Pelodiscus sinensis: one gene and its partners. The protein of the gene in region 1 interacts with the protein of each later gene in a biochemical or structural test. Links are inferred from orthologs where the notes say so. Each region holds a gene or a part of one and is shown on either strand. Other genes may lie near its edges.

Region 1 (7,486 bases):
TAAATGCTGCAGCCAGTTTTCTGTCCTACACTGTAATTTAGTATTACTATATGTTAGTAGAGAGAGGGGAGAGGAGCTTGTTGGCTCCAGGCTCCCTGTGGGGCTTCTACTTTTGAAACATACAAGAGCTCTGTGGGGTTTTCACTTTTGAACTGTAACAAAAGGCAGGATTCTTGCTACAGTTCAATGGCAGAGGTGCCCTTATCAACTAATCGAATAGTTGATGGAAATCCAATTGAGTAATTGATTAGTTCAGGGTGGCCAACCCCATTACAGACAAAGAGCCAAAACAGTGGTGGATACAATGGAAAGAGCAAAGGGAAAGAAGTTGCTGAGCAAAACAAACAAACAAACAAACAAAAAAAGCTGCCTCTTTACCAGCCATGTGTGACCCAAGCTTCCGTCGGCCGGAAAGTTGAGCAAAAAAACCAACAAAAAACAAAAAACCCACAAACCAACCAAACAAAAATGCTGCCTCTTTAAGAGCTGCGTGTGCAGGAACAGTAATTTTTCCTTTGAAGAACCACGGGTTGGCCACCCCTGGATTAGTTCATTAATCTAATTTTAACTTCTGTAGGCCACACAATGCATCTTCCCTTGCACTTGCTCCCAACCCCTGGCTAGACACCCTATTCCCAAGCCTGCTCCTGCACACTACCTACCATCCAGACCTCAAACCCTCACCACCTCCTGCACCTCACCTCCCACCCAGATCCTACACCCCCAATTCCTCTCACTGGCAGCTGTCCCATACACTGAACCCCTCATTTTTTGGCCCAACCCCAGAGCCTGGGGGGAGGGTCCACAAAATCCACTAACTCTGGAACCTCAAAAGAGCAAATCTGGTCTCTGGGAAGCACTGAACATTCAGTCCTCCCTGGCCCTCCCCCTTCCCCAATGGGGCTGGAGCACCAGAGGAATGAAGTATCTCAGTTGGGGGCCACATCAGTGAGGGTTGGGGGATTTTTTGAGGGTTTTTTTTTCTACTCACTTGTGTGGTCCCCAACTGATTTTTCTGTGGGCCGGTGACAATCAATACAAAAAAGGTTTCCTACCCCTGCCATAAAGTAAACATGGGAACCTTTTGTGTTGGACATAAATTAATATTTAACTTTATTTAAAATGACGTTTGGTAAACTACCATGATAAAGTTCAAGTGCTTAATCTGTTTAATAATTTAAATTAATATTTCCTTTCTTACTGGTTAAATTAAACAATTCTCCCTAGCTTCAGCACTAGCAAAATGACTTGTGTGTAATTAACGAGTTTCCATTAGCAATTGGTGATCCATGGAAAGGTTTGCATTGACCTAAGTGGGCCACAAGCCAAAAAGTTTGAAAACCACTGCTATATGTGGACAGTAAAACACCAGAAATATTAGACCTTTAGTTTAATTTATCATTACTATTTCCAAACAAAACCTTAAAGTCAATTCAATTAGTCACTTAGATTTCAACATTTTCCTACAGCACTGTGAAGGAATAGGAAAGACAGAAACGAACACTAGAAAACTGAAAACGGTTGGACTAGTCCAGTGTTTCTCAACCAGTATGAGTACCTTCAGTGGGAGAGAAGTCTGGGGGGTACATCAACACAACTGAAATTTGGAGAAAAATGAATTTTTGTTTTAAGTTTTACAGCATTTTATTATTTTTGTACTTTTTACAATCAAAAATTTAATCACCCGCCTGGCTACGATTAAGTTGTTTAAACAAATATGTTACAATTGTAGAAAAAAAGCGTGTGTCTCTGAAAACTGTAGGTACTGGGGGTACTTATATATATTTTTAAAGGGGGGTATTTTATAAAAAAAGGTTGAGAAACACTGTGGCTACGTCTAGACTGGCATGATTTTCCGCAAATGCTTTTAACGGAAAAGTTTTCCATTAAAAGCATTTGTGGAAAAGAGCGTCTAGATTGGCACGGACGCTTTTCTGCTAAAGCACTTTTTGCGGAAAAGCGTCCGTGCCAATCTAGACGTGCTTTTGCGCAAAAAAGCCCCAATCGCCATTTTCACAATCAGGGCTTTTCTGTGCAAAACTAATCTCAGCTGTCTACACTGGCCCTTTTGCACAAAAGGACTTTTGCCCAAACAGGAGCAGCATAGTATTTCCGCAAGAAGCACTGTTTTCTTATATGAGATCGTCAGTGTTCTTGCGGAAATTCAAGTGGCCAGTGTAGACAGCTGGCAAGTTGCTGGAAAAACTTGCCAGTCTAGACACAGCCTGTGACTCTAGTTGCAGATAAGAGGAAAAGGAAAGCCTCTTGCATTATATTATAAACATTATATTCTTTAATTCCTATTACATCCATATATTAACTTTTACTGTTCCTTACTCTCATCTTTGACACTGTAATGCAGTATGGGTCCGGGCTTGTCTACATTTGGAAATTTCCTGGAATTATTTCAGAACCAGCCCACATGAAATAAGCTAAACTGAAAGGAGCTCCCGGGCTAGTGCCTCGCACAGAAATAACTGACTAATTTTTTCGCGGGAGGTGACTGGCCCAAGCGCACCCCGTTAGCGCATCCTCTCGCTCTGCACAGGCACAGGACACTTCGCACCCCAGAAGCGGCCGCATTTCCGCGGCGGGGGGGGGGGCGGGGGCGGGGGGCTGGGGAAAGGCGCGCGCGAGGAGAGGGGGGGCAGATGCCTCGGGGCAGTGACCCCGGATTGTCTATTGCTCCCACGCACGGGGGCGAGGCGGCGAGGACGAGCCGAGGCCCCTTTTCTGAGCGGGCCGCGGAGTCCCGGGCTCGCTCCGAGCCCGCCCTGGGGAGCGGCGCCGCCCCTGCTCTTTGTTCGCCCCAAGGCGGCGGGGCAGGAACTGCCCGGGCCAAGCGGGGCCGCGCCGCCATGCGAGCAGCCAGGCTCCGGCAACGCGCCCGCCCCCGGCACGGGGACCCCCCCGCTCGATCGCTGCCCGCCGCCCCGCGCCCCACACGGCCGCCGACCTGCCTCCGCCGGCTGCCGCTTCCCCTCGGATCCAGACGCACGCGCGCTGCGGGCGGGTGTCGGTTGGACTCAACTGCGCGCTCAGCTCCGCCCCGGCCCCGCCCAGCTGGGGGAGGGGGCGCGGGGCGGCGGCTGTTTCAAAGGGCGGCCAGGGCGCGCTGAGCTGGCGAGCGTGTCTCTCCCCGCACCCCCAGGTGAGTCGGGCTCGCGCTGTGAAGGGGGAGCGGGGGCTGGTCGCAGGGCGAGGCGGGCAGCCCTTGTGCGGGTGGGGAGGGAAATAGGCGCCGAAATCAGAGCCGGGGTGGGGCTATGAAAGGGGGAGACAAGTGGCCAGACCGGAGCCGCGGAAGTGACCCCGCGCAGAGCGCGGGCTGTTGGGGTTGGGTTGGGGGGGGGGGGTAGAGAAAGGGAAGCCCTGCGCCGCCTCCCGCCAGCTGTGCTCTCCACGCTGCAGAGTAGGCTCTGCAGCTTTTTATTTTCAAAGTTGAATTGCTGCGCTGCCAGGGGAGGAGACTGGCTTTAGTGAAATATTTCACACCCGTCCTCTGAAGGCTCTCCAGGAGTATCAAACCTATCTTTGACGTGACATTAATTCCTTGTCAGTTTACCCAAGGGAAACACGCACAGCTTAATAGCAGCTCAGAAAATTTATTTTAGTTGGTGCTCTGATGGCCTCAGTAGTACCCTGTTCCCTGGAAACCACACTTACAGTGGACTACATCTGTTTTTGCTCTTGTGAAACTAGGATTTAGGTCAGAGGCAATGTTCCCTTCACTTTTCCCACTTGTCTACAGAATAAACTTTTTGTTATCTATACAGAGGCATGTGCAGATGAGTGCCACCAGAAGAAGCACATGCTGTCAGCTGTGGGCACTCTGCTAATTAGCTGGGTGATATTTGAATTTCTCCTGGGTGGCCACCTGAGTGCATGGCTTAGCACAGCAATGGAGACAGACTCACCTAGGCTAGTGAATGCATCGTGTGTGTAGCCCTCCTTCATCTTACTGGGCCATAAGGTTGTTACAAACACTGTCTCCTGGGTTAGGGTAGTTTTGCCAACTCCGCTTGCATACCTAGAATTTGCAGCAGGTACTGTTTGAATCACAGCAGCACTTTGAATGCAGATGGACCACACTGTTTTTACGGTCAATGTTGAGTGAAATGAGCACACACCTCACTTCCTGTGTCACATTAGTAATACCGGTAGGAAAAAACACTGTGAATGGAAGCTAGCAGCATCTAGCAATCCTCTGCATGAACGGTGGTAAACAAAATGTCTTGTAGGCTACCCATATAACCTCAATTTATCACATCTGTGCTGGAGGTTGCCCACCAGTGGCTTAGAGGGAACAGTGGTCTGGGTATATAGCAAACAGAAGGTACCTACATCTGGGCTACGTCTAGACTGGCATGATTTTCCGCAAATGCTTTTAACGGAAAAGTTTTTCCATTAAAAGCATTTGCGGAAAAGAGCATCTAAATTGGCACGGACGCTTTTCCGCAAAAGCACTTTCTGTGGAAAAGCGTCCGTGCCAATCTAGACACGGTTTTGCGCAAGAAAGCCCCGATCGCCATTTTTGCCAACGGGGCTTTTTTGCGCAAAACAGTTTTTAGCTGTCTACACTGGCCCTCATGCACAAAAACATTTCCGGAAAAGGGCTTTTGCCTGAACGGGAACGTCAAAGCATTTGCGCAAGAAGCACTGATTTCAGACAGTAGAACGTCAGTGTTTTTGCGCAAAATCAAGAAGCCAGTGTAGCCAACTGGCAAGCTTTTGCGCAAAAGTGGCTGCTTTTGTGGAAAAACTTGCCAGTCTAGACGCAGCCTTGGTGTAAAATTAAAAACTAAGCCTATTCCATACTAACCACCCTGACTTGAAAATGTCACCGCCTCTTTTCCCTTCCTTGTGAGTTTCTTGAGACATGACCTTCACCATTCCTCACTAAGTTCTGGAGGTTACTGTATTCTATGCCAGCAGCCTGCTAATAGCCCCCATACACAAGGTTCTCTTCTTGCTATCTTTATTGACAGCCTATAGAATTTGGTAATCAAAGCATGATTGATCTCTAAATGTACACATGTATCTCTCTCTTCATATATCAGTGACAACTCTGCCAATATGTGCCTACTTAATCCTTCAATCATTTAATACAGTGACATTGAACCCAGTTAATGGCAGTTGTATGGCAAGTTGATAAATACTGGAATTCAAATCTGAGACTCCATGTAAACAATGGCACGGTCTTGTAAACCTGCCTCGTGTTTTCTTACAAATGCAGCTATGCTACTGCACCGTTTCTAGTAGCTATTGTGAGTACTGGAGGATAAACTGCCATCTAAAGGTCTAGAGGAGGCAGAAAGGTAAGTGGGATATCTGACAGGGATCTCTACCTCTGTTAAAGTTACTACTGAGGACAAGAACGGAGAAAGAGGGGAAAGGGTAGAAAAATTGTGACAGTCATCTAACAGAACTTGCTATCCTTATTTCCTGGCCAGTAATCAAATACTGATAGGTACCCTGACAATCAAATGGACAAGGATGATGAGTGAGGCTTCAATTTATTTGAAGAGGTCATGGCAGTCCAAGTAAAGCCACAGCATCTTTATTTGTATAAATTATAGGGCTACAGGAAGTGGAGATGGGATTGTGTGCCCCTGCCCTGCAGCTAGGGCTGGCTGGAACCAGGACCCTGCAGCCCAACTTGTGGCTCTAATTGGGGACTGCAGCTTGGGCCATGTCCTTCAGTCTGGCATTTGTCAAGGGCTGCACTAGGAAAATGGGGGTAGTATGCACCTGTGGCAGCCCACTAATTTTTACCTCTCTCCCCCCTCCACGTGTTCCTAGCTGTGGCTGAGGTTTGGGGAGGGGGACGACTGCTACCTGGGCTACTCATCCATGTCCTGCAGCTGCTGGAGTCGGGGCTAAATCTTTAAATATATGGTGCTTGAGTGAAATGAGGCTCATGGCAGGGTTCTCGGCCTGTCAGTCCCCCTTTTCTCCCCTGGGACTCCATTCCTCCCCCTTACCTAGCCCTGCCCCCAGATTATTTTTGAGTGTCACAGCTCTCTGAATTTTTGTATTTTGCTTGTCACTTTTAGTAAAATTAACAATGATAAAATCTTAGCCTTAGTGATGGTTAGCAAATTCTGACAGACCATGTGGTATGTCATTGTGTTACCAGTAGCAAATTCTGACAGGATCTAACTTTACAACACTATCATGGTACAAACTTAAAAAACAACAAACAGTCTAGTAGCACTTTAAAGACTAACAAAACATGTAGATGGTATCATGAGCTTTCGTGGGCACAGCCCACTTCTTCAGATGACTGGCGTGTTGGATATCCAGAACCAACGTCATAGTACAGTTAGTCTTCCCCTTCTGCTTCACACAGTGGACCAGTCACTCCTATCACAATCCACTGCATTAATCAGTTCTTCTGGGAGCTATGAGAATTTCCCTGGTGGCAGTGTGTTTCTTTCTTTACCATAAAATGCAAGTGTAAGGCTTTGTCTATGCTACACAGCCTTCAGTGGCATAGCTCTGTCACTAAAAGTCAGGCAGTATAGTCACTGATTGTTGGCACTTTTGCTGACAAGGTACCCCCAATGAGCAGTGTTCACATTGTTGACAGAAGAGTTCTCCTGCTGATACTGTTCACACTGACGCTTGCTGCAGCAAAACTTTTGTCTTTTGGGAGGGGGAGGAGAGGTTAGGACCACTGAATGACAAAAGTTTTGGTGCTCAATTGTCAGTACAGCTGGTCCCCCAACTTACCAACAAGTTACAGACCAAACACTTGGTCATAAGGTGAAGTGTTCATAAGTTGGACCCCATTCATTTACATGCAACCGTGCTGTTCGAAACTTGGGGACCGCCTTTATGACTGCTTAATGGGAGGTTTGGTCGTAAGTACAAACGGTCGTAAATCGACCATTTGTAACACGGGAACAGGCTGTAAAGACATAGGTTAAGACATGGGGATAAATCTAAGTGAAATAGGATTGATGAGCTGGATGTAGTGAGCTCTAATGTGGCATTCACCCATAGTCCAGTACTAATATTTTAAACACATGATTCTCCAGTGTAATGAGGTTCAGGGATATGTTGCTGAGAACTCTTTTCAGTAACAGATCAATGTTCTATTCTATAGGTCTCTTTAGCATCAGCCTCTTTGGTTATATCTGTGCTAATAAATCCCTCTAGGGCTGTTGCTACACTTCAAAGGTGAAAGTGCTGTATGGAGTTCAGGGTCAGCTGGGGACTCCCACACACTTTGAAATGCCACATGCAGCCTGGGGCCACCCTAGCTGGCCCCAGGCTTCATGCAGCATTTCAAAGGGGCAGTGCTGTGTGGAGCCCAGGTTCTGGCCCTAGGCTTCAAACAGCGCTGCTACTTTTAAGCACCCTCTGCTCTTCTCCCACTCCCTTTCTGTCAACTGTGGACAATAGGAGCTGCAAGTGACTGAACATGTGGATGTGTGAGTAAAAAAAAAACATCTGGCAATCCTCCAGAGGCTAACCCTGG
Region 2 (7,439 bases), on another chromosome or scaffold:
AGGAGGAAGGAGAAAATTTGTTCCTCTTGGTTTCTGAGGACAGGACAAGGAATAATGGGCTTAAAGTGCAGCAAGGGATGGTTAGATTGGACATTAGGAAAAATTCCTAACTGTCAGGGTGGTCAAATATTGGAATAAATTGCCAAGGGAGGTGGTGGAATCTCCCTCTCTGGAGATATTTAAGAACAGGTTAGATAGACATCTGTCAGGGATGGTGTAGACGGAGCTTGGTCCTGCCTTGAGGGCGGGGGGCTGGACTCGATGACCTCTCGAGGTCCCTTCCAGTTCTATGATTCTATGATTCAGATCAGTGATTCTCAACCATGAGGGTACGCAAAGGTTTTCCAGAGGATACATCAACTCATCTAGGCTATGTCTACACAGCAGCATTATTTCGAAATAGTGACTATTACAAAATAACATAGTCTGCATTTACACAGCACACAGCAGCTTCAACATAATGTCAAAATAATGGCAAGCTGGAGGAGTTCTTACTCTGAATCCTCTAACCCTCCTTTTACTAAGAATAACGAAAGTCAGAGGAAAAGTGCCTCTAACTCGGACTTCCTGCTGTGTAGACAGTGCCAAAAGCCAAAATAAGCTTTTTTGACTTAAGCTATGCAATTGACATAGCTCAAGTTGTGTAGCTTATTTTGGATTTAGTCCTGCTATGTAGCCATATCCTTAGAGATTTGCCTAGTATTAGAACAGGCCATAAAATCCTCCAATGGGACTGGGCTCCCATCAGCACTAGAGGACCCAATGCTATAATAGTGGACGCTAAATAAAAAAATTCAACAACAGTGCAGGGGGAGGGCGTGGATACTGTGGGACAGGAGAGGGATTAAAAAAAATTGTCCTGCTCCGCAAACAACATGAACTTCATGGCCAGCAGCCATTGCTCTCCAGATACTAAATGACAGCGCTCACAAGTTAAAAACAGGCTTTAGTATCACATTAAAATATAAGTACAATATGTATATATTAATTGATTTTATTTTATAATTATATGAAAAATGAGAATGTAAGCAATTTTTTCAGTAATAGCACATCAATACTTTGATATTTTGATGTCTGATTTTTGTAAGCAAGTTGTTTTTAAGTGAGGCAAAACTTGGGGAACAAAGACAAATTGGCCTGTGGAAGAGTTACAGTTGCCTGGAAAAGCTGAGAACAAATGTTTTGCCTTTGCATATCAGGCTCAGTGGATTGCAGAGTGCTGCTTGTTCAAGCTTCAGTTTAAAAGTTTCTGAAAGGTCTGTGATATGTGCATCCTCCTATTAGCGACCCTGTCCCTTCAATTTTATCTTAACCATATTGGTAAAATCGCTGTTTGAACTTGTCCATGAGTAAAAGTCTCAGGCTGCGTCTAGACTGGCATGATTTTGCGCAAATACTTTTAACGGAAACGTTTTTCTGTTAAAACTATTTTCGCAAGAGAGCATCTATACTGGCATGTGCCTTTGCGCAAAAGATTTGCTTTTGCGCAAAAGCATCTGTGCCAGTATAGACGCTCTCTTGCACAAGAAAGCTCCAGTGGCCATTTTAGCCATCGGACTTTCTTGAGCAAGAAATTAACGTTGCTGTCTACACTGGCCCTCTTGCACATGAATACTTGTGCAAGAGGGCTTATCCCTGAGTGGGAGCATCAGAGTATTTGTGCAAGAACCACTCATTTTGTACATTACGAAGTCAGGGTTCTTGCGCAAATACTTGCGGCCAATGTAGACAGGCTGCAAGATTTTGCGCAAAAGCAACCACTTTTGCGCAAAATCATGCCAGTCTAGACGCAGCCTCAGAGGAGTAGCCATGTTAGTCTGTAACAAATTTTTTTTTTAAAACAAACGATCCTGCAGCATCTTAGAGACTAACAAAAAATGTAGATGGTATCATGAGCGTTCATGGGTACAACCCGCTTCTTCAGATGAATAGAGCAAGGGGTCCAGAGGTACAAATAAATAGCAGAAAAAGAGGAGATGGGGGGGGGGGGAAATCTTGTCAATTAGGGTGTCTGTGCTAAATGAGGCTAATAGTGTGGGCTGTAAGTGCTTGACACTTAGCTTTTGATGTCATTTGGGTGTTGAATATAACAGCCCATCCAGTTAAAGTTTGTTCAGACCATTGTCAAATGTGTCAAATTTGCATATGAAGGCAAGTTCTGCAGTTTCTCTCTCCAGCTGATGTTTGAAATTGTATACTCACCTTTAGAGCCATTAGAGAGTACCCGGGCAAGTTAAAATGTTCCCCAACAGGTTTCTGTTTGTTACTATTTTGAAAACCTGATTTGTGTCCATTAATCCTTTTTCATAGAGACTGTCCAGTTTGGCCAATGTACATGGCAGAGGGGCATTTGCCGGCACTTGATGGCATAGATCACATTACTGGATGGGCATTTGTATGAGCCTCTGATGTGGTGACTTATGTGGTTATGTCGTGTGATGGGGAACAGGCCAATCCTCGCCTCCAGACAACCTCCTAACCTGAAACACCATTCTTTCCAGCAACCACTCAGCACACCTCAGACATACTTACCCAGGAACCCATCCCTGCAATAAACTCCAATGCCAGCTCTTCCCACACGTCTATATAAGGGGCATCATCACAGGACCTAACCACGTAAGCCACCACATCAGAGGCTTATATAACTGTACATCCAATAGTGTGATCTATGTCTTTTAAGTTTGTCCATGAGTGTTCAACGTATTGTTTATTCCTGAAAATGGCTTTCATTATTGCTGCTATGTCAGCCAGGAGAGTGCACTGAATGTACTCATGGCTGAGCCAATGGGACACTCGCTGTCACAGCTCACAGATCAAGCCCACGCTTGGCCCGTCGGTCCCCGGGTGGGTTCCCCCCCTCCTCTAGTGTGACAACCCCTTCTCGGGGAGTCCACCCTCTCCTGGAGGATCCACCCCTCCGCCTTTCAGCATGCCTGTCTCTGCCATGAGCCCCCTTGGGGGTTCTACTCCCTGGGAACCCCTGGAGCCTCCACTCCCAGAAGGAATAGTGCAACCCTGTTCTTCAGACCAGAGTAACTCTCAACCAGTATAACACAGGAGGGTTTATTGAGGTGTGAATGCAGCAAAGGCTCCCTCAGGCCTGTAGGCCTGGGCCTTCAGCCTATCACATCTGAGTCTCCCTTGTAACCAGGTGAGCTGTACCTGTTCTGTCACTGTCCCATTCAGAAACCTTCTTCTTCCAGCTGAGCCTCCGATATTCCCCTAAAGCAGCCCCTCCCCAGTTCATTGTCTTCTGTCTTGGTAAAAAGGGTCTCCTGGGCCCTTCTCTTCATCCATTGTTCTCCCTGGCTGAAACCAGCTGGGCAGGTTACCGATGTCTTCTCTCTGCAGCCCATTATCTTCCCTCACGTCCTTCCCCTTACCCCTCCCTACCCTCCCTTCCTGATGTCAAATAAAATACACGTATTTTCATGAACACAAACTCTTTATTTAACAAAACTGGGTGGGAGGGAATGAAACTCTAGTGCGACTGGGGAAAAGAAGCGGGGGGGGGGGGGAGAACAGAGAGGGGGAGAGGGGAGGGGAAACCTGGGAGGTGGGAGGGGGAAGCAAGGGAAAGAAGGGGGAGGAGAAGTTCAGGGCTCAGGGTTGGGGGTCTCGTTGGACCAACTTGATTGTCATACTAACCTGCTCCTGGGTTCGCATGTGGCCTTTGGTGGCCAGGCTGGCAGCTATCCTGCCATAGACGGCCATGTTCCTCTGTTTAGTGCAGAGATCATGGACATCGGGGGCATCCCCCCAAACCTGAATAAGGTCCATGATCTCCACCCTGGACCAGGAAGGTGCCCACCTTCTCCAGGCCCTGGCAGGCTCCTAGGAGCCAGCAGTCTGCTCCTGGGGAGCAGTGGAGGGCTGGCTGCCAGTGGCTTGCTGGCTCATGTTTTGGGGCCACTGGGTCGGGACAGTGACTGCTGGCTCTAGGCTGGCTGGCTTGGAGCTGGCACAGGCACTGTGGCCAGAGTCAACCCCTTTAAGGGCTCTGGAGAGTGGGGGAGGGAGAAAAGTGTTCTTGGTTGAGGCTGGAGTGGCCACCAGGGCACCCTAGGAAGGCTGGAGGCCCCCTATTTCAAAATAAGTGTCTACACAGCACTTATTTTGAAATAGCTATTTCGAATTTGACGTTATTCCTCGTAGAATGAGGTTTACCAAATTCAAAATAAGTGCTCCACTATTTCAAATTTATTTCGAAGTAGCAGTTTGGCTGTGTAGACGCTAAGAAAGGTATTTAGAAATAAAGGCTGTTATTTCGAAATAACTTCGCTGTGTAGACATACCCTGAGAGAATATAGGGTTGAGTCTGTGGCTCCAGAATGCTTTGTGTGTCACGGTGTCTTCCTGGAGTCTCTGTCTGTGACACTGACTTACTCGTCTCAGACGCGGCGCAGAGGGCTAGGCTGCAGGAAGTGCAGTTAGCTTGCATTGAAACAGGAACTGTCACAGTGCGCAGCAACCAGGTTCTCAGGCAGAAAGGAGCAAGTGTGACGCACCTCCTTTAAGGTAAGTGACGGCGCAAAAGCAATATTTACAAAGGCAAGTTACCAAAAATGTTGAGGTTCCATGGCTAGCACACCTAGAGATGGGCATGAGAAATTCTACCCTGATAAGGCCAAAAGCTACTCTGCACCTCTTGGCAGTTACTCCCCAAATGCAGGCTTTGCTCTCTGGGAGCTGTTGTAATGTTTCTGGGTACAAACAACAAACGCCTCATCTGAATCAGGCTAACCAATTTTCAGGTCTGCATGCAAGCAGGTGTTTATGCTTGTGGACGATTAGGGCTAGTTACAAATTAAAGTCACTGTGATGCTGCCCAGTCTTAGTGTAGGGACTATTCTCATCTTGTGGGGGTGTACAGGCAATGGTTTGGAAAGAAACTCACCATTCTAGCATGGGTCCTGGCAGGTCAGTATAAAGGTAGTCAGACTGCTATAACTGGTTAAAAAGACCTCTTGCTAAACCTGTGGCTTTCAGCCTTTACAGACAACTCTACTCCTTTCAGGAGTCTGATTTATCTTGCATACCCTATGCTGAGCTGAGGCTTTGGCTGGGCTGCAGAAACAGTCATGCCAAGGAGCCCTGTGTTAGCCCATCATTAGTTCCTTAATGCTCACATGTGAGCCGCCTTGTGCAGGTCATACAGAAAAATTCTCCCTGTTTTGTCTGTCTCTGATCTCTCACACTTCAGACTCCTGTCTCTGCCCCAAGTCTCATGTGGCAGCTATAAGCTCAGAGTAATACACCTGGACAGTCTCTGGTTTGTTCATTTGTACAGTCACCCTCCCACTCCCACCTCTATTTTTAATTTAAGTCATTTGCCTCCCACAGGTTGCTGGTTTCTCAGCCACTGCTGGGCAGTGGGGGAGGGGGAGAGGTTCAGGTTGGTGGCTAGTGGCCTTTGTCTGATTTTTTTTCATATACCTGGTTCCACACCTGAAGATGAGGAGGCGGAGGAAGAGCCAGAAGGAGATGGCACAGAGCAACAGCATGAGAGGGCAGTCCTCTGTCCTAGGGAACAGTCAGCTGTAGCCAAGGAGTGGAGGGGCGGGGAGAAGCTGTGCAGGCTCAGGAAATAATATTGAGATGCACCTGTTTGGGATGATTGATCTGTGCCAGAGGATGGCACAAGACATGTGCAAGGCAGGAGAGCTGCTGGCCCAACAGTCCTGTTGGAGCCTTTCATTCTCTATTGCTCGGTTTTATGTAAAGGTTGATTCTTTTTTCAAGCAGCAACAAGAAATGCAGGTAACGCATTCTGAGGTGAAATACTGGCTCTCGGGTGGCTGATCTTAGGCATCTGGGACCATATTGTGGGGAGGTTTTGTGGTCTGAACAATTTTGTATCTAAACAAGCAATGTCTCCTTTAAATATAGTGCAGAATTTTTTAATTTTACATTGAAATAGCATTCAGCTTCCTCTTCCCCACTTCCTGGGCCTAGCTGGGCTTCCTGTCTTGTCAGCACATACAAACTGTTTAGCCACAGACCTCCCTGTGCGCAAATGGTTACAAAGCCTGTCTCAGCGCTGGAGAGCGTAGCCCTGACCACAGTCACTTCTTCTTTTTTGAAACTCAAACACATTTTGGTTAAAAAAAATCAGTAGCCACCAACTAATAGAGATAATTAGCAAAAGGCACAAATAGAGAAGTCATGTGAATGACCTGGAATACAAACATTAAACTAGACTACACAACACACAGGCCCCATTTAAGTCAGTTCTGCTGATATCAATAAAATGCAATATTTACCCAATTTCCACCCATATGACAGCACTTTCAATGAGCAATGACAGTGCAGGAATTTAACTACTAAAATGCATCTCAACAGAAGACCATTATATTGACTACTTTTTCGTTTTGGCTCCCACCCGCAGGCCGCAAACAAACAGGCCACGGGTCTATGTGGCCCACGGGCCATGTGTTGAGTAGCCCTGGTCTATATAATTGCTGATAGCTGTCTGTCTAAACTGCTCTTGAATATCTCCAGTGATGGAGATTCCACAACCTCCCTGGGCAATTTATTCCAGTGTTTAACCTCCTTGACAGTTAGGAAATTTTTCCTAATGTCCAACCTGCAGTTTAAACCCATGGCTTCTTGTCCTACCATCAGAGGCCAAGGAGAACAATTCCCCTCCCACTCCCCCGCCCCACCTGCACCTTGTGACACCCTTTTAGATACCTGAAAACTACTATCATGTCCCATCTCAGTCTTCTCTTTCCAAACTAAAATCCAATTCTTTCAGCCTTGCCTCATAGCTCATATTTTCTAGACCTTTAATCATTTTTGTAGCTCTTCTCTGGACCTTCTCCAATTTCTCCACATCTTTCTTGAAATGTGGTGCCCAAAACTGGACTCAATACTCCAACTGAGGCCTAACCAGCACAGAGTAGAGCGGACGAATCACTTCTTGTGTCTTGCTCACAATACTCCTGTTAATGCATCCCAGAATCATGTTTGCTTTTTTTGCAACAGTGTCACATTGTTGACGCATATTTATCTTGTGGTCCACTATGACCCCTCCATCCCTTTCTGCAGTACTCCTTCCTACACAGTCACTTTCCATTCTCGAAACAAATTGTTCCTTCCTAAGTGGAGTACTTTGCATTTGTTCTTATTAAACGAGGTGTACCGGTAGTTTGGAATAGGAAGCCTAATCCGAACTACCTAGTTCGTGCTGCGTGTAGCCGCGGGCACGGAGTCCGAACTAGTGGACATTTAAAAATGGCGGCGCCCGGCAATATGCAAATGAAGCCCAGGAAATTCAAATCCCAGGCTTCATTTGCAACTCCGGTTGCCTACATTAACCACCCTAGTTCGAACTAGGGTGGTAGTGTAGACATACCCAGAGGTCTTTCTCCTCCTCTATCATTTCCAATTGATAAGTCCTTTGTTTTCAGCATACTACTACTACTAAAAATAATAAT
Region 3 (7,233 bases), on another chromosome or scaffold:
GGATGGGGGCGGTACCTGCAGCAGTGTGAGGTCACTGGGGGTGGGGGATGGGATGGGGGAGGTACCTGCAGCAGTGTGAGGTCACTGGGGGGTGAGGGATGGGATGGGGCGGTACCTGCAGCAGTGTGAGGTCACTGGGGGGTGAGGGATGGGATGGGGAGGTACCTGCAGCAGTGTGAGGTCACTGGGGGTGGGAGATGGGATGGGGGTGGTACCTGCAGCAGTGTGAGGTCACTGGGGTTGGGGGATGGGAGGGGTGGTACCTGCAGCAGTGTGAGGTCACTGGGGGTGGGGGATGGGATGGGGGCGGTACCTGCAGCAGTGTGAGGTCACTGGGGGTGGGGGATGGGATGGGGGCGGTACCTGCAGCAGTGTGAGGTCACTGGGGGAGGGGGATGGGATGGGGCAGTACCTGCAGCAGTGTGAGGTCACTGGGGATGGGGGAAGGGATGGGGCAGTACCTGCAGCAGTGTGAGGTCACTGGGGGTGGGGGATGGGATGGTACCTGCAGCAGTGTGAGGTCACTGGGGGTGGGGGATGGGATGGGGGCGGTACCTGCAGCAGTGTGAGGTCACTGGGGGTGGGGGATGGGATGGGGGTGGTACCTGCAGCAGTGTGAGGTCACTGGGGGCGGGGGATGGGATGGGGGCGGTACCTGCAGCAGTGTGAGGTCACTGGGGGTGGGGGATGGGATGGGGTGGTACCTGCATCAGTGTGAGGTCACTGGGGGTGGGGGGTGGGATGGGGGCGGTACCTGCAGCAGTGTGAGGTCACTGGGGGTGGGGGATGGGATGGGGGTGGTACCTGCAGCAGTGTGAGGTCACTGGGGGTGGGGGATGGGATGGGGGTGGTACCTGCGGCAGTGTGAGGTCACTGGGGGTGGGGGATGGGATGGGGGCGGTACCTGAAGCAGTGTGAGGTCACTGGGGGTGGGGGATGGGATGGGGGTGGTACCTGCAGCAGTGTGAGGTCACTGGGGGTGGGGGATGGGATGGGGGTGGTACCTGCGGCAGTGTGAGGTCACTGGGGGTGGGGGATGGGATGGGGGCGGTACCTGCAGCAGCATGATGTCATTTTTTAAAGTCTCCCTGTTGTACTGTGGGTGGGGGATCTGCCGGCGCACGGGGATCACTTGCTGGCTCGGTTCCCGTTGCTCGATGTTGTGGGCTCCCAGGACGACAGTGATGCTGCTGTGAAAGCCGAGAGTGACATGTGTGGATTGTTAGGGGAAGGACATGTTTTTGGCGTTTAAATTCCGCTCTTGCGGGGACAGGGCAGTCTGTGGGTCTCAGGCCGGGACTCAGTTTCCTTCCCTCCTCTTCAGACTTGTGGTCAAAGCTCCCCCAGTCTAGTCTCCTCTCCCAGATCGATCCAGGAAGGGGTCCATGCCCAGACCCTCAGCCCAGCACCCTACAGAGCTGCCCTGAGGCTGTGACCCTTCCCTGCCCCATGCTGGGCAATGGAGCAGACCCAAGCTGGGCTCCCTGTCCACATTCCCATTGATGTACCCAGCGCTGGGGCTGAGCAGTGGGTTGCAGAGCCCTCTAAAGACTTGTCGACACCCCTGAGCAGGTCAGACCCCTGGGCTCAGCTCCCCCAGCCTGGCCACCCTCTGTCCCTTCCCTGACCCCCATGCTGGCACCAGAATTTCCAGGTTCCCCTCCCCCGCTGACCCCACCCGCCCCCATGTCCCAGCCCAGAGGCACTTACTCTCCCTGGCAGTGAGCGGCCGTCAGCACAAAGTTCTCCGCCACCAGGAACCCGCCACAGCCACTGTAATTGGCTCCTTCTTGTGATTGCAGATAGGCCATGTAGGGCCTGGAGTGGGGCTTGGCTTCATGCCCCCCGATGATCTCACCTGGGGGGAAACCAGATCCGTACCAGCATCACCATCCTTGACCACTCGGCCCATACTCAGGTCAAGTCCCCCCAGTGTCATCCTGTTCCCTGTGGATCCCTTGGTGGATCCGAGTTCTGCCCCCCTTCTCAGCTCTGCCCCACACTAGACACCCCGTAGGGCTGCCCTGGCTGGGTGCAGAACTAGTGCCAAACGCACTTGCAGGGGGTCCATCATCCAACAGCCTGGTGTTACTGGCTTTGGGGTCCGAGCTCCCCTCTAATCAGGCCAGGCAGCCCCTTAAAGGGGATTGGCTGGTTCGGGGTGAGGACTAGGACCTGGACCTTCCCCTTAGGGCAGCTTGGAGATGCCTTCCCTGTTCCTGCATTACATGTGCTTTGGCTAAGGCTGCCGGATTAGCCCCCTCCCTCCACACACACTTTCCCCCGATGTAATCTTCATTTTTATGTTCATCCCTTTACAGGATGGTGTTAACGTTCGTACATGGCTGCCTTGTGAGGTTTCTCCAATCCCTGTTCCCACCGTTTTACTGGTTCAATTCCCTCCCATCAGGATCCCTCCACCGGCCCCTCATCCACCTAATGCTGCTTCCTTTGTGTTTTTGGTGTGCATGCCACATGGAGAGAGACAGGAAGAGATCACTGCAGGTGTCTGCTCCCTCTTCTTCTAGCTTTCTCTTCTTTGGAAACCATCTTCAATGGCAGTTTAGGAGGAAGAAGGTCTGTGTGGATGGGAACCCCTACTGTTTTATTGTCAGGATGTCAATTTTTCACCCACTCCATCTTCCTTGCTCAAGAATAGCAACTGAAACATTTGATTTTCTTCCCAGCTATCTGAGGCCTCAGCCAGTCTTTTGTCTCCGGGGAACTGGTTTGTGGCTGCTCCCTAGACTTGAAACATGGCCGAGTGGCATCAGACAGTATAATCTTATCACTTTACCAACCACAGCTATTTATCCAGGACAATAATGATCAGCAAATTATGAGTTTTCAGGTGATTCCTCACAAGGCACGCTTTCTATAAAATTAATCACAGGGGGACTGAAAATAGGGAGACGGTCACTCTCAGGCCCCTAGGCAACACCCCAAAAATCAATCCCTGTGAGCATTCAATTGACCCCAAAGTCCTGGGGCCCCCGATCTCAGCTGTACTCACCTGCCCAAGCCCCAGAGAGTAGGAGAAAGGCCCTGGAGAGCAGGAGCAAGACCTGGATCTGCATGTTGAGAAGCAGTGCAGGGACGGTGCATCTGCCTCAGGCTTTATAGACTCAGCTTGGGGGAGATCGAAGAGCAGGAAACCTCAGGGCCGCTCACACGCTCAGCTACATGGAGAGCTCAGACGTCTCAGTTTCCAACCACAGCTGACCACATGCGCTCGGGGGAAGGACAGGCCGAGCGTCACCTGCAGTCATGCACAGAAGGCTGGCTACTTCCTATCGGGGTCTGTGCAGAACTGCTTGGATGATGCACCACTGTGGGGAGAAGACCCCAATGGGGCTGTATATAACAGAGTCCAGGGCTGCTGTGGGACTGGTTCACAGCTGGGCACATCTGCTCTGGTGCCACAAAGGCCCTGGTGGGCGGAAGGTGAAACTGCAGCTCTTCCTGGGTAGAAATGTGTTTTCTGCAGGGAAAACAAACAATGCGGGGCACAGGGATTCTGCGCAGAATTCCCGCAAGTGTGAGATCCCCACATTTTTCGGGTTCCATTCCTCCGGCTGATACGGCCCATGGTGACCAGACTGGGCTATTCACCTCACACACAAACTGTCCCTGCTCTGAAACCCAGCAGTAACAGCCCTGCTTTTGCTCTGGTGGCTGATGAAGCCACAATCTTTGGGTGGGGAGCTGTGTCAGACCAGTACAATGAAAGAGCAGCGGAGGCGGAGATGATGGAGCTGGGGAAAAGAGATGCTGCATCTGCCAAGCAGGCTAAAGGCGTATTGGGGTGCATTAGGAGGAGCGTTGCCAGCAGGTCTAGAGAAGTGATTATTCCCCTTTATTCAGCTCTGGGGAGGCCACATCTGGAGTATTGTGTCCAGTTCTGGGAAAGGATGTGGACGCATTGGAGAGGGTCCAGCGGGGGGCGACCAAAATGACTGGGGGGTGGGAGCACATGACCTACGAGGAGAGGCTGAGGGATTTGGGTTTGTTTAGTCTGCAGAAGAGAAGAGCGAGAGGGGATTTGGGAGCAGCCTTCAACTCCCTGCAGGTGGTTCCGAAGAGGCTGGTGAGAGGCTCTTCTCAGTGGGGCTGGGTGGCAGAACCAGGAGCAATGGGTTCACGTTGCAGTGGGGGAGGTCTAGGTGGAATATTAGGAAAAACTTAGGGTGGTCGAGGAAGCGCTGGGATGGATTCCCTAGGGAGGGGGTGGAATCTCCATCCCTAGAGGTGTTTAAGTCCCATCTTGACCAAGCCCTGGCTGGGCTGATTGAGTTGGGCTGGTCCTGCTTCGGGCAGGGGGCTGGACTCGGTGACTCCTGAGGTCTCTTCCAGCCCTGGGATTCTATGAAGTTAGACAGACAGATAATTGGTCAGACACATATTTAGCTTGAGATTAGGTAGCTAGGTATCTAGGGACGGAGGTTTGGACAGGCAGAGGGGTAGGTAGGAATTGGAAGGTTAGATTCTTGCATCTAGAATTGCTTCAGACCCTTCCTCTTTCTGGTCCAGATGCATCGGTCTCGGGAGTCAGGACAAGCAATGGCACAAGCAGCTTTTCTTCGCTGAGTAACCTTTGTGTCCACCCCAGATCCACCTTGTGTGTGAAATCACTGAACCCAGGTGTGCTGGGGCCCAGCCAAGAGCGTGAACCACCAGCCCGGCCTCCCCATAAGGTGCATTCTCTCCTGGCCTGGGCAGGTCCAGCAGCTGCCCTGCATTGCAAAGCTCTGGATGGATGCGTCAGTCAGGAGACATCTTCTGCTACTTGACTTTATTACTGGCTGGCTGTGGAGCAAGCTGTAGGGCAGGGGAGCTGAGCGAAATGCAGCCGGGCAGGGGACTGGGCAGCAGAGGATCACGACCAATGTTTGATCTGCAGCAGATCAGCGCAGACATCCCGGAGTCGCCCTCCCGCCAGCCTGGCTGCCTCCGGGCCCAGGTGTGTTTAGAAGGGGCTAATCTGTGCGGAACGGGGGCCAGCACGTGGGGAAGGCCCAGAAAGAACAGGGCCGGGGGCGGTTCCAGCAGGATGTTACTGGGAGGAGCTCCCACAAGTGTCACTCGCCCGGCTCACACCAGGGAGAACAACCTCCGGGTTTGGCCCCTCACTAATATGACCTAGCTGCTCCCTAGGCAAGGGGCAGAACCCGGCCCTGAACCTGGATCTTACCAAAGCAGAAGAGTGGTTTGGGGAGGGGACTTTGCCTTGCAAGAGGGACGAAACTCAGGCTGGGCTGTGGGGCAGTCAGCCCCTCTGCCGAGCAGGCCTGACGTCCTGGCCTCTCCAAGGCAGGAGAAAGGCAGAGCCAGGCTGTGCAGTGACCCCTGGCAGGGCTCAGGGCTGCAGAAGTCTCATTGTATTGTTGATCCAACCGATGAAAGCAGGGACTCTCGTGTACACGCCCGGAGGTGTGTCGTTCCCCCAGGAGACGATGCCCTGGGCCTTACCCCCGCACACCAGGGGGCTGCCGGAGTCGCCCTGCAGAACAAACCGGGCCACAGTGAGTCATTTCCCCCTGCTGACTGGATTAATGACGCCCTGATGCCCCCCAACCCCTCCTTGGCCCCTCATAAGCCCTCTTGTCGCAGCCCGATCACTGACACGCTCCCTCAGAGATTCAAGCCAGGGGCAGATTTACCTTTGCAGAATCTCTGCACTTCTCTGGGTGCCCCGCACACAGCATGGTCGCCCGGTCGTAGTCATCATCATCTGAGCACTCGTCATCCTCCAGCACCTCCACGTCCACCTCCCGCAGCGCGTTGGCAGCAGATGAATTATCGTTAGCGATGGTGCGGCCCCAGCCGGCCACACTGCACACGGTCCTGGGCTTCACCCTTTCATCAGCTTCAGGCAGGGGGATGGTCTTCACAAATTTATTCAGTTTTGCAGACTTCTCCAGCTGTGGCATAGCAAAGATGAAGGATGAAAATAAATATGAGGGTTGCACTAGAGATGAAAGAAATATATGTCTTCCCAGTAAAACAAAGAATTTTGTTTCTGTGCCACTGATGGGTAAAAGACCATACTGGAGGCAGAGGGATGGGATGGGGTGGTACCTGCAGCAGTGTGAGGTCACTGGGGGTGGGGGATGGGATGGGGCGGTACCTGCAGCAGTGTGAGGTCACTGGGGGTGGGGGATGGGATGGGGTGGTACCTGCAGCAGTGTGAGGTCACTGGGGGTGGGGGATGGGATGGGGGCGGTACCTGCAGCAGTGTGAGGTCACTGGGGTGGGGGATGGGATGGGGTGGTACCTGCAGCAGTGTGAGGTCACTGGGAGTGAGGGGATGGGATGGGGGCGGTACCTGCAGCAGTGTGAGGTCACTGGGGGTGGGGGATGGGATGGGGGCGGTACCTGCAGCAGTGTGAGGTCACTGGAGGCAGAGGGATGGGATGGGGTGGTACCTGCAGCAGTGTGAGGTCACTGGGGTGGGGGATGGGATGGGGTGGTACCTGCAGCAGTGTGAGGTCACTGGGGGTGGGGGATGGGATGGGGGCGGTACCTGCAGCAGTGTGAGGTCACTGGGGTGGGGGATGGGATGGGGTGGTACCTGCAGCAGTGTGAGGTCACTGGGGGTGGGGGATGTGATGGGGGTGGTACCTGCAGCAGTGTGAGGTCACTGGGGGTGGGGGATGGGATGGGGGCGGTACCTGCAGCAGTGTGAGGTCACTGGGGGTGGGGGATGGGATGGGGTGGTACCTGCAGCAGTGTGAGGTCACTGGGGGTGGGGGATGGGATGGGGGCGGTACCTGCAGCAGTGTGAGGTCACTGGGGTGGGGGATGGGATGGGGTGGTACCTGCAGCAGTGTGAGGTCACTGGGAGTGAGGGGATGGGATGGGGCGGTACCTGCAGCAGTGTGAGGTCACTGGGGGTGGGGGATGGGATGGGGCGGTACCTGCAGCAGTGTGAGGTCACTGGGGGTGGGGGATGGGATGGGGGCGGTACCTGCAGCAGTGTGAGGTCACTGGGGGTGGGGGATGGGATGGGGGCGGTACCTGCAGCAGTGTGAGGTCACTGTGGGTGGGGGATGGGATGGGGGCGGTACCTGCAGCAGTGTGAGGTCACTGGGGGCAGAGGGATGGGATGGGGTGGTACCTGCAGCAGTGTGAGGTCACTGGGAGTGAGGGGATGGGATGGGGGCGGTACCTGCAGCAGTGTGAGGTCACTGGGGGTGGGGGATGGGATGGGGGCGGTACCTGCAGCAGTGTGAG

What was found.
Region 2: of the proteins of CASP3 (region 1) and HCLS1, one has a biochemical effect on the other in vitro, tested with the Homo sapiens proteins (2 studies listed by BioGRID). The link is inferred for Pelodiscus sinensis from reciprocal best matches to the Homo sapiens genes CASP3 and HCLS1.
Region 3: of the proteins of CASP3 (region 1) and granzyme B-like, one has a biochemical effect on the other in vitro, tested with the Homo sapiens proteins (2 studies listed by BioGRID). The link is inferred for Pelodiscus sinensis from reciprocal best matches to the Homo sapiens genes CASP3 and GZMB.

The regions. Positions count from the first base shown.
Region 1 is NC_134715.1:76,149,250-76,156,735, forward strand, and holds the start of CASP3 (caspase-3), read right to left. Parts: upstream 3,086-7,486; 5' UTR 2,961-3,085; exon of another isoform or gene 2,957-2,960; intron 1-2,956. UniProt on the Homo sapiens protein: Thiol protease that acts as a major effector caspase involved in the execution phase of apoptosis. Following cleavage and activation by initiator caspases (CASP8, CASP9 and/or CASP10), mediates execution of apoptosis by catalyzing cleavage of many proteins.
Region 2 is NW_027466023.1:268,092-275,530, forward strand, and holds the start of HCLS1 (hematopoietic lineage cell-specific protein), read left to right. Parts: upstream 1-4,362; 5' UTR 4,363-4,518; intron 4,519-7,439. UniProt on the Homo sapiens protein: Substrate of the antigen receptor-coupled tyrosine kinase. Plays a role in antigen receptor signaling for both clonal expansion and deletion in lymphoid cells. May also be involved in the regulation of gene expression.
Region 3 is NC_134740.1:2,433,255-2,440,487, forward strand, and holds the start of granzyme B-like, read right to left. Parts: upstream 3,078-7,233; coding exon 3,014-3,077; intron 1,859-3,013; coding exon 1,711-1,858; intron 1,191-1,710; coding exon 1,055-1,190; intron 1-1,054. Other genes in the region: mast cell protease 1A-like, read right to left, coding at 5,357-5,500, 5,661-5,921. UniProt on the Homo sapiens protein: Abundant protease in the cytosolic granules of cytotoxic T-cells and NK-cells which activates caspase-independent pyroptosis when delivered into the target cell through the immunological synapse. It cleaves after Asp.